Drosophila melanogaster: one gene and its partners. Changing the gene in region 1 together with any one later gene gives a genetic interaction. Each region holds a gene or a part of one and is shown in the gene's direction. Other genes may lie near its edges.

What was found.
Region 2: of w (region 1) and Pcl, changing one suppresses a phenotype caused by changing the other (phenotypic suppression), as found in Drosophila melanogaster (4 studies listed by BioGRID).
Region 3: of w (region 1) and pho, changing one suppresses a phenotype caused by changing the other (phenotypic suppression), as found in Drosophila melanogaster (7 studies listed by BioGRID).

The regions. Positions count from the first base shown.
Region 1 is NC_004354.4:2,794,709-2,798,467, reverse strand, and holds the start of w (white), read left to right. Parts: upstream 1-2,001; 5' UTR 2,002-2,159; coding exon 2,160-2,231; intron 2,232-3,759. UniProt on the Drosophila melanogaster protein: ATP-dependent transporter of the ATP-binding cassette (ABC) family which transports various molecules including bioamines, neurotransmitters, metabolic intermediates and second messengers.
Region 2 is NT_033778.4:18,133,751-18,137,509, forward strand, and holds the start of Pcl (polycomblike), read left to right. Parts: upstream 1-1,675; 5' UTR 1,676-2,173; coding exon 2,174-3,661; intron 3,662-3,720; coding exon 3,721-3,759. Other genes in the region: Hsf (heat shock factor), read right to left, coding at 121-330. UniProt on the Drosophila melanogaster protein: Polycomb group (PcG) protein.
Region 3 is NC_004353.4:1,180,021-1,183,779, reverse strand, and holds the start of pho (pleiohomeotic), read left to right. Parts: upstream 1-2,151; 5' UTR 2,152-2,190; exon of another isoform or gene 2,191-2,412; intron 2,413-2,498; 5' UTR 2,499-2,641; coding exon 2,642-2,732; intron 2,733-3,759. UniProt on the Drosophila melanogaster protein: Polycomb group (PcG) protein that binds to the 5'-CNGCCATNNNNG-3' sequence found in the regulatory regions of many genes.

The DNA.
Region 1 (3,759 bases):
TAGCGTGCAGCTAGCAAAAGTTTCTCCACTCACACACACACAAACACATACACAGATTTATTGAGCCCGCTGTCCGCGTCAATAATTTGCATGGGTTAAACGTACAGAGGCAAGAAAATCTGGGGGTTAAGTCAACCCAGACCAACCCCCCCAACCCCCCACCAGACCGCACTTCCTGTGACAATGGCTGGGGACTTACCTTTGCCGATATATATATATATATATATATATATACATATGTATGTAGGTGTGACTGTGCGGAGAGAGTATAAAAGTGTGTGTTGAAAAAAACTTTCTACGCCTCAGTTCAAGTTACTTCCTTTTCGCTTTTCAATACGGTGTTATTGCATTGCATTGTGGAATAGCAAACCAATTTAAAGAATCCCAAAGGTAGGGCAAAAAAAAATGTTCAATTGCAGGGCTAATAAGCAAAAATCAAGTTAAGGCCACTCTAAAAAAAATGAACTGCATACTTATACGTATGCAATTAACTTTATTATTGATTTAGAGCGCATAAAAACGGCAAACTAATTAATTACAGCATTCCCTTAGAGCATTTCATAATCGGTTTTAAGCACTTTTTGTTGTAATGCCATTTTTCAGCTCTTTCGCTGCTGCGACAGGCGAGTGACAATAAATTGTTAAGTGCAAAAAGTTTACAGCATTTGAGTGAGTTAGTAATGGCAAACACACACGAACACGAACTTCAAGACGGTCTAAACCCGATTCGAGCTCCACTCAACCAACATCGAAGAAGCCCCATAAGTGTCACTGAGCGAAAAACTCGGTTAGTTGGCAAAAATGAGTGAAACATTGACGTTTCTTTGTTGTCTGTCGCTAGATCGGCCCACAAAGGAAGTCTCTTACGAATCGTACATACATCTAACTTTGAGTCAGCTAAAGATCTTCAGTGAAATAGGAAAATCATTTATTTCGAACTTTGAAGCTGTTGTAGAGCAGAACATATATGCATTAAAACTGGCACATGAAATAATGTTACTAGTGCTGAGTGAGACTTCTACAAATATCACATGCATATGCATAATTAACTTGCAAATCGAATCAAAAGCTATTATTCTGAGCTAAACTCTCAAAAGAAAACCATATTCATTTGAAGACCACTTAATCGTCGTCAGCAAATTAATTCCTGCAGATTCCTCGGCAACTGCAACTGCTAACCTGTTACCACATCGTCCGTGAAAATGGTATTGATAGCCTCCCGGAAAACCCGTCCCAGTCGAGATCCATATCCTGGACCAACTGGCCCCGATGATGAAGATTGATAATGCCCGGACAGCTGATGGCGGCAGTTCATGATTCCGGGGCCTGAGATGAGGTGCTAACGATGACGACAACGACCGGAGTGTCCGAAGTACGGGTGCGGATAGGCGTACGGGAAACGGGGAGTGCGGAATGCGCATCATCAACAGTCGCCGTTTGATAAATCATGCATGCAAAGTACAGTGCAAACCCCCGAAACGGGACGACAACAGGCGGATTAACAAGAACTCTCTTATTCACGATAAGAAGACGCTTCCCACTCAACCTAATCAGTATTCAAAGACAGCCACTCAGCTTATGAGTACTGCCCAGGTGGGGTACTATCATATTGGTGCAAAGGTGGTCGAATTTTTAATTATTTTGAACGGAACACATTAGCTAAACATAAACATGTTGTCACTAGTATGTATGTAAGTTAATAAAACCCATTTTTGCGGAAAGTAGATAAAAAAAACATTTTTTTTTTTTACTGCACTGGATATCATTGAACTTATCTGATCAGTTTTAAATTTACTTCGATCCAAGGGTATTTGATGTACCAGGTTCTTTCGATTACCTCTCACTCAAAATGACATTCCACTCAAAGTCAGCGCTGTTTGCCTCCTTCTCTGTCCACAGAAATATCGCCGTCTCTTTCGCCGCTGCGTCCGCTATCTCTTTCGCCACCGTTTGTAGCGTTACGTAGCGTCAATGTCCGCCTTCAGTTGCATTTTGTCAGCGGTTTCGTGACGAAGCTCCAAGCGGTTTACGCCATCAATTAAACACAAAGTGCTGTGCCAAAACTCCTCTCGCTTCTTATTTTTGTTTGTTTTTTGAGTGATTGGGGTGGTGATTGGTTTTGGGTGGGTAAGCAGGGGAAAGTGTGAAAAATCCCGGCAATGGGCCAAGAGGATCAGGAGCTATTAATTCGCGGAGGCAGCAAACACCCATCTGCCGAGCATCTGAACAATGTGAGTAGTACATGTGCATACATCTTAAGTTCACTTGATCTATAGGAACTGCGATTGCAACATCAAATTGTCTGCGGCGTGAGAACTGCGACCCACAAAAATCCCAAACCGCAATTGCACAAACAAATAGTGACACGAAACAGATTATTCTGGTAGCTGTTCTCGCTATATAAGACAATTTTTGAGATCATATCATGATCAAGACATCTAAAGGCATTCATTTTCGACTATATTCTTTTTTACAAAAAATATAACAACCAGATATTTTAAGCTTACCATGAAGTCCTCATTTCTTCCACCTTTCATTCTCAAATATTTTCTTGCTACACTACACTACACTACACTACATTATACATCGACCCCAAATAGTTGGATGTAGTAGATCGTAATTAGGGACGCATAACCAGTGGTGGCGTGGGAGGAGTCGGCTTAAGTTGGCCAACAACATTGCTGGGTGTCTATAACTCTAGGCTTGCCAAGATACTAGATACTGTATCCGTATCCATTTCTGGTTGTGTACTCGCATCTTCTACCTGATCTTAATACCTCGTTGTTTGCACGTCTCGCTCGACGAAAAATGTACAATCTAGTCTTATCTGGGTCATTATTTGGCTAGACGAATGCTTTGGGCTCAGCATCTGATATCTAGGTATCTTCGTGCGTATCTTGCTTTAAATTCTTAGCACCTCGGCTTGTATAACAAAATAAATAAGTGAGTACGATTTGCATATCTAGCCCCGGGCTCTTTGAAACAATTTTGAAAAGTCTCAAAAAGTTATACAAGGAGATAAGAACTTTAATTCTTTTGGGAAGTAAGTAACGCAGTAAAGGTAACAAAGTATTGAAAAATATGATATGTATGGAATATTTGAAGCCATCTTTAATTATATGTTCGTTGCATATATGTACATATTGGGCCGTTTACGCTCTGATATTTCCTTAATAATATCGAGTGGTCGTCAGCTTTTCCGCTGAATAATTGCGCCTCCTTCAGTATTTCGTTCTCATCAAAGTGAATGACTTTTGAGTGCACTCATTAGCCACTCGCACAATCGACAAAACGGGAGGAACAACAAATTGAGTCGCTTCTTTATTCAGTCATTTCAATTTGTCAAGTTCATCACGATACTCCTTCGCCTCCCTGCACAGCGCCATCTAGCGCCCACTCCTCGAGTTTCCTTCGTATTTCGTAAGTAATTCAAAAATAGCACGCAAAGTAAATAAAAAAAAAAGTAAGCCAAAAAATTAAATAAATATGAAATGTAGCATCTTTCGCTACTTATTTCAACAAAATACGAAAATAGGGAAAAGGTGGGAGAGTAAACCAGAGGAGGCAGGGAGATAAGAAAACCCAGTGGGAAAGGGACGGCGAAAACAGAAAAGAAAAGAAAACTTTTTAATAACATTTTTCGGCCTCATTTGTTGTGAAAACAATTTCGCCATGTCCCTCTATCTCTTTCCCAGCCATATGGCCATCTCGCTCTGCTCGAGGAGTGCCTGAAAACGGATATTACATTTTTTCGCGTCT
Region 2 (3,759 bases), on another chromosome or scaffold:
CAAAGAGAGCTTGAGACACCTGCATGGCCAAGTCATTGTTGTTGCCATGCTGATTAGCGGTATGTGGTGGGAGGGGAGTCCCTGGAAAGGTAAATAAACAATATGGCGGCGTAGGCTTACCTTGGTCCAGCAAATCAAGCGATTGGTATCGGCATCGTCCACCAGGCGCCACAATTTGGCCAAAAAGGCCGGCACCCCGCTTCCGATGGCCGCGGCGTCTCCGTAAGAGTGCATTCTCCTGGAAGGCAGCTGCTCCTCCTCGTCTTCTTCCTCTTCCTCCGATTCGTGCTTGAACTGCACGGCTTTAGCGGATGAACGCGACCTGGACATAAAGTGACCAGCAGCCTGGAAAGGAGTACTACTCAATGAATTCACTGCACACCAACACCAACACAAACGCTTTTTTTCCAGTTTACAGTTCACTTTTCCACGCCGCTGTATGTGTGTGTGTTTAAGTGTGTGTATGGGTGCGGGAATCAGTGTGCGTGTCCAGGTACACCATACATATGTAAAATGTACATATGGGTACAATTTTGATGTGAAAGTTGCAGCTCTGATCGAATCGAATGTTTTCGGTTGCAGCCAAGTGCGTCATTCGAGCCACCAACTTGCACAAATGGAGCTCCAGTTCTTCTTCTCCTGCTCAACCTACTTACCTTAACAATTTTGCAGCTCACAAACCTTTCGCGAAGTGAAAAACTCGCGTTTTACTTGTTTAGTTTAGTTATTACACTTCACTTTCTTGGCGTACCGCTTTTGTTTTACACAGTTCTTCGGTTTTTAAGTGCTTTTTCGCGTTTTATTCACAAGTGAAAATTTAATGAAACCTCCGTCAAGTAAAATTGCTTCTGTTCGCAGCGTGACCAATTTGGTAAAAACCTATCGAACTAAAGTTCGCTGCTATATATACCATTGCTAGCTGTCTGCTTGGTCCTCTGGTTTTTATCTAGTATTTTCTGGCGCGCAACTTCGTATTCATATAATTGACCCCAATTACTAGATGATCATTATACTAAAAACTTATCAAATTCTGTTATTTGTTTTTAAAGCTAGTATTGATATGTGTACCCATAACATTAATTGATAGGCAACTGTCGATTTTAATACGGCAGACCAAAGGATAGGGATTTTAGTATTTGGTATTTTCTATTTGATATCTTTAAGATAATTATGAGTTAAAATTAAAATTAGTTGGTTTGATTTTAGATAAGTTGTACATAAAAGCATACAAAGGGCATACTTACTAAAAAAATTAACATTCATTTTGAAATTTCTATAGGATTTACTTTGACAATCAAAAAGTTTTACCTTAATATAAATGTTAGTTTTATTTTTTTTAATTTGATTTAATAATTGTCACTCTACATTTAAAATGTAAATTATGTATGATATTAACGTTTTTGAATCTTTAGGAAATATTTAAATGTATTTTCTAGTATTTTCCAGGACGAGACCGCTGAGTCTTTGCCGGCACAGTGGGGATAATTAAGTAAATTTATGGTATATTTTATACGTTTCGATATATTTAAAAATATAAAAATGTAAAATTGTGGTGACAAATTTCCAATATTTCTTTATTTATTTTAATCAAGTTAATTTTATTACCATAACATACATAAGTTGTGGTAGATTTATATATGAAAATGTAACGAAAAGAACAATTGTTGGATGCGGTCACACTGGTGGGCATATGTTGAAAAATGGCTGACACAAATTAATTTTCAAGTGATTTGTTTTGTGCATTTTCGCTGGTGTTAAAGATGAACTTGGGACAACGACGTTCAAAGCCGATAGCCGAATCAATAAGAGCAAAATGCTAATTTAATGCACGATTCGAAACACACTTAAAGGTGGGTAAATCGGCAACCGAAACTAGAAGTGCCTGTGGTGCGTGTGGAAAAGTACGAATGAGGAAGACACAGAGAATACAAAAGGGCCCGCTCTCCAGTCCGTATGTGTAGCAAAAGTGTGCATGTATGTGTCGGCGGGCAACAACAAATTCGACGAAAAAGGCGCCAGATTAATGAGCTCGTGTTAATCAGCGGGAAACAATCGCAAAATCAATGAAAAAACGGGCCGCGAAAAGCCGGCAAATCGAACTGAAGATCCATATTTTTCACAAAAGACTGCGCACTGGAAAAATCAACGCATCTAGCACGCACACACAGCCGCAATGATGAACAACCATTTTCACTTGCAACACGATCATCCACCGCAGAACGTGGCACATCCGTTCATGCAACAGCCGAGTACCGCTGTCCCATCAGCTCCTCCGGCCACCTACGGCTACTTAGCACAGCCAGCTGGCCAGCAGCCGCAGTGGATGACGACCACCTACCAGATCCTGCCGCCCAGCGTAGGACCTGCCACGGTGGCCAAGCGATACTATGCCACCACTGGGCCGCAGACCACGCATCCCACACATCCCAGCACCATCCAGATCACGAACAGTTTCGCTCAGCAATCAACGCCACCGAAGCAACAGGCGGCAACAAGCTGCAGCCCATTCAAGGCCAACAACATACGAATCATCTCGACGGCGCCAAGTGTATACAGTCTGAATAAGCCGCCACAGGAAGCGCACTCCACATATGCTCCCGTTCAGTCGTACTACTTGCCCAGTGGCGGTGGCCAAACTGCGGGACAAATCAATCTACTGGCGGCCAGCGGAACTGGCAAGCAACTGCAGCCGCCGCCGCTGGTGCCTGTGACCAATTCCACCTCACCGCCCTCCACCGTCGTGTTAGACCGCATAAACATTTGCATCAATAACCACTATACGGAGACGCCCACTTCGCTAAGTTCATCGCTTACCACGGCCCAACAACCTTCGCCCATCATACCGGCCATCCAGCACAAGGCCATCCTGCCCCTCATCGACAGCAGCACGGCGGATAGCAGCAGCTGCAGCAGCAGTTCTGTATCCAGCAGCAGTTATAGTGGTACCGCGACCACCTCAGCAGCAGTTGTGATTGTGGATGAGCCGGATTCTACGACCACAACGCCACAGACACCGCCAACTACGCCGGAGGCCATGAGTTCACCCGGTAAAAGTTCGCCCTCGCCTCCGCTACTAGCCACGCAATCGCTGCTCAAAGGCGTCAACTCAATGAAGCCAAGCTTCAAGACCGTCGAAGCAGCACCGCCAACGCCGCCAACACCTCCATCACCACCACCACCGCCGCCGGCACCACCAGTTGCCGCTCCCTCGCCAGCGGTCACGTATGCGCTTCAGGAGGACGTCTTCATCAAATGCAACGATGGCAGATTTTACCTGGGCACCATTATTGACCAGACAAGCGATCAATATCTTATCCGCTTTGATGACCAGTCGGAGCAATGGTGTGAACCGGATAAGCTGCGCAAGCTAGGTGGCGGTAGCTCGATTACCGCTGGCGGAGGCGGTGCCTCTACCACGGAATCCACGAATACCTCCCCCAGTGGACCCATGTGCGTGGCCTGCAAGCGATCGGATATCGAAGATGTGGTCGAAATTTGCGAGCGCTGCGGACGTGGCTACCATCGTGGTTGCACCGTTGAAATTGTTACTGGCAGTGGAATTTGGAGTTGCAAACGCTGCGCTAAACCCATGAAAATGCAACAGCCTGTCAGCCATAAGATCACAAAACCAGCGGGAATTTGTCGCCAGTTGCCCTACCATGTGAGTATTCTACGAACCCAAGCCAGCGGATTAGATTCTTAATCCGGTTTTACCCACAGGCGGATAAGCTCAGCTGGGATGAGAAGCATCGGGTCAAC
Region 3 (3,759 bases), on another chromosome or scaffold:
TATTTGAAATCTATTTAGATCGGATTGTAGTACCAAATACCATGACTGGCGTTGTGGAAGCCATGGAGAAATAGTATGTTTTTAACTCCCGAATATATATATAGTATATAGTGACGTAATTAAATAATTAGAATTGTCCACAAAAAAAAAAGATCAATATCCCAAGCGGGCAATCTCGCACCGGAAATAATATAAACAAATGGGCAATATGTGACATATTCACATAATCAGCACTTTCAGAAGAAATACAGAGTGGCGATTCCACGCCATGTACGCTAGCTGTATACAATAAATATCTTAAGCGGGCGATCCCGCTCCAGAAATAATGTAAACATAGGCAGTATAAGAAAGATTTTTGTCACTAACATATAGTCTTAAGCTGAGATCAAAAGAATAAAGACGTGAAAACCATCTCTATGATAATTTTTTATTTCTTAGCGTTGACCTTAGTCAACTGAAATTAGTTAGACTCAAATATATAACAATTATTTTACTGTATGCATGTATGCATATAGTAATGCATATTAGTTTACTTTTCCATGAAAATGCATTAATTATATATGTAATTGTATTTGTTGTATAGAAGCAATTACTGGACCACCGGCGGATGAAAAGGTGGACGACAATACGCAGCCTCTTTATTGAAGCAATATTAAAAAAGAAAATAATAAATTTAATAGATGAATTCTTTTTTGTTTTTATTTAAAACGTCGATGTTTTTTCAACATATTTCGCCAAAAACATCGATGTCCGCCATCATCGATATTTCTCAATCTCTATTAACAGAGTCAAATCAAAGACATTAGAATAACATGATTGGTAACGACCATACGTTGGTTTAGCACAATGCAGTCACTTTTTTGGTGACGGTCAATATTGACATTCTCTGGTAATCGAATTCGTAAGAATTTTACTTTTGTCTGGGCGAAATTAAAAGTAAATGCCTGTTATACATACATATATCTATCAAATCAGATCTTATTAACTAAGGAAAAAATATTTTATTCAGTGGTCTATCGATGTTAATTCCAAATCACCACAAGATCATTCTGCCAATGCGTTATTATACAAAAAATGTATTTCCGACCCCACCTCAGATTTGACAAACAACATTTTGCCGTCAGCAACAAATATTTTCGATTTAGCAAGGGGATTAGCAAAGGAGAAGTACGTTCCCAATATTTATTGCGAAGGCTGCCATACTGTTGGTAAAACGAAACAGGCAGGTAAAAATACTTATAAAATATAAAAGAATTCATTAATGAATTTCAGGAATGGCCAAAAGAGTTGTATGTATTTAATTAAATGTATTTTTATTACTTAAATGTCAAAGTGCAATAACAAAGTAATTGCGAACGTCGGACTTAAAACTGTAAAAAAAGGTGTCCGCTCTATGGTCTGGAAAACAGCTTGAACAGCTGTTTAATGTTTACAAAACATTCCGATAGCAAAAATTTTGCGAAAACCAAAACAGCTAAAAACGAAATCAAAAGATTTTGCCCAAATCGAAATAAAAAATAAAAATTACAGGAGCATGATTGACTATAAATTATCGCTGTGCATGCTTGGCATCTCTTACATCAGCACAAAACACAAGGATTGGCAGAATTGGCGCTTTTTCAAATCTACAGCAGAACACAAGATCAGTAGAGATGTTGAACCATCGGTGCCTGATCCCACGCAGTAGAAACTTTCCCCTTTCGTTTAACAGTTGCCTCTTTTAAATCTGTTCCAGTCTCATGTTAAGCTTTGTTAACGATGGGAAATTGGTTATAGCATGATTGCACTCGTTTTCCGAAATGAGGATGATTCCATTTCCACATTTTCGAAATGTATTTGTGGACCGTATCATATGAACTTTATTTATCACTAAAACTAATAGAAAAATATACACATTCTTTGATAGGATTTTCTTTAAGCATATGAAAAATTTAATTCATATCGGTTTACAAATTTGTAGTATTATTTAATTTTATGTTTTGCATGTATATTTCAAGCTATACCGATATAATTACAGAGATTACAGCCAGCTTGTTCTATATTTAGAAGCTAGTCGACGTGGAATCAAGATATATTTTGCGTTGTAAAAAAATACTAAAGTTTAGTATGTTGCAAAAAACCCAAATATTTAGGCATCGAATACCCATGCCAAACAAGCAGAATAACCTTTTCAATATTTTGAGTCATTTGGTATCGCGTTTTATAAAAATTACTTGAATTCTTTTGTTTTCCTCGGCTTTTAGTGAAACAATTCGACTATCATTAAATTTATGTGGCGTTTAATTAATCTTTCGTATTATTTCAATCAGAATTTTTTTAACATATTCACTACATTTTCTTAGAGAACCGTTTGTCATATTTAATGTATATTATGTTCCCTACTTAAATATGACAATTATTAATTCTGTGTGTGTACGTATCAATCATCCGTGATATTATATTCATGTCTTATATTGCCTACATATGGAATAATGGCAGTAAAAATGCTGTTCTTTCAGATACATCAAATAGCCTCAGGGAATGCAACGCTCAGGAAACATACAAATCTTACCTAACACATGTGCCTACAATTATCCTGGCATTTGAAATGCTTTAATACTAACTTTAAACTCATGCGTATGTGGATTATAGTATTGTAAATATGGCATACGAACGTTTTGGAATTATTCTTCAAAGTGAACAGTACGATGAAGATATAGGCAACACAAAAGTCAATCAGAAAATGAATGAAGGTAAGTTCGGATTTTACAGGCATGTCTATGTTTTGAAAATCGAATTATAGCAACAAAGCACTTTTTTATAAAGCGTAACAACAAAATACTGTTTAATGAAGCATAAAATATAAACATATTTACTTGTTATACCCGTTAGTCCTAGAGTAAAAGGGTATACTAGATTCGTTGAAAAGTATGTAGAAGGAATCGACCACAGTATTCTTACTCATGATCACTAGCGCCAAGTCGATCTGCCCGTATAAACGTTGAGATCTCGGGAACTAAATAAAAGATGTGAAAGTTAAGATAAAGCATGCACATTCTAGAGAAAATTACCACTTCTACTCCAACGCCCACAAACCTTCAAAAACTGTCAAAACTAAAATTTTAATATTGTTTAAGCCGCCATACTAACATTTTTAAGCCAAGCCCAGATCGTTAATGTCAGCTTTTAAGCGCCTTGGCATCGAAGAAATGAAGTATCATCAGATTGTTCAGTAATATGTTAGGTTAAGGTTTTTCCAAAGGAGGCAAGACTCGGAAGACTATCACTCAAAACACAGTGTTGACGGGTGTGAGGCTAATCCTCATCTCTCGTGAGTTACCTGTAATGGCGGAGACGCCGGGTACCCATGTAAGCGTTAGTTTGGGTGTGCTGTAGACGTTCAAGTTCAATAATGGTGTTGCTCACAGGCACGCTCTTGCTAGTGTTCGCTTGAAATGTTAATATGCCGCATGACTGTCCACAATCAAAGCTGTTATTCTGATTCCCATCTGACTCACATCGTTCTTTAATTGCTAAACTGCAGAGTCCTTATACCCTTGTGAGCGTTAGTTTAGTGTGCCGTAGATCTCCCAGTTCCATGATGGTGTTGCGCACAAGACCCGTTACCTTTTCGCTTTTGGCTTAAAGATTTAAAGAATATTATATGGATATGTACGGATTTGCGGATATCCTAATGTGCTTTTGAAGACATAGAATTTTAATTTAAAGTATTTTTAATTAGCTGCGCAAATAATTTTGTATAGAGAATATAGTAGCTAA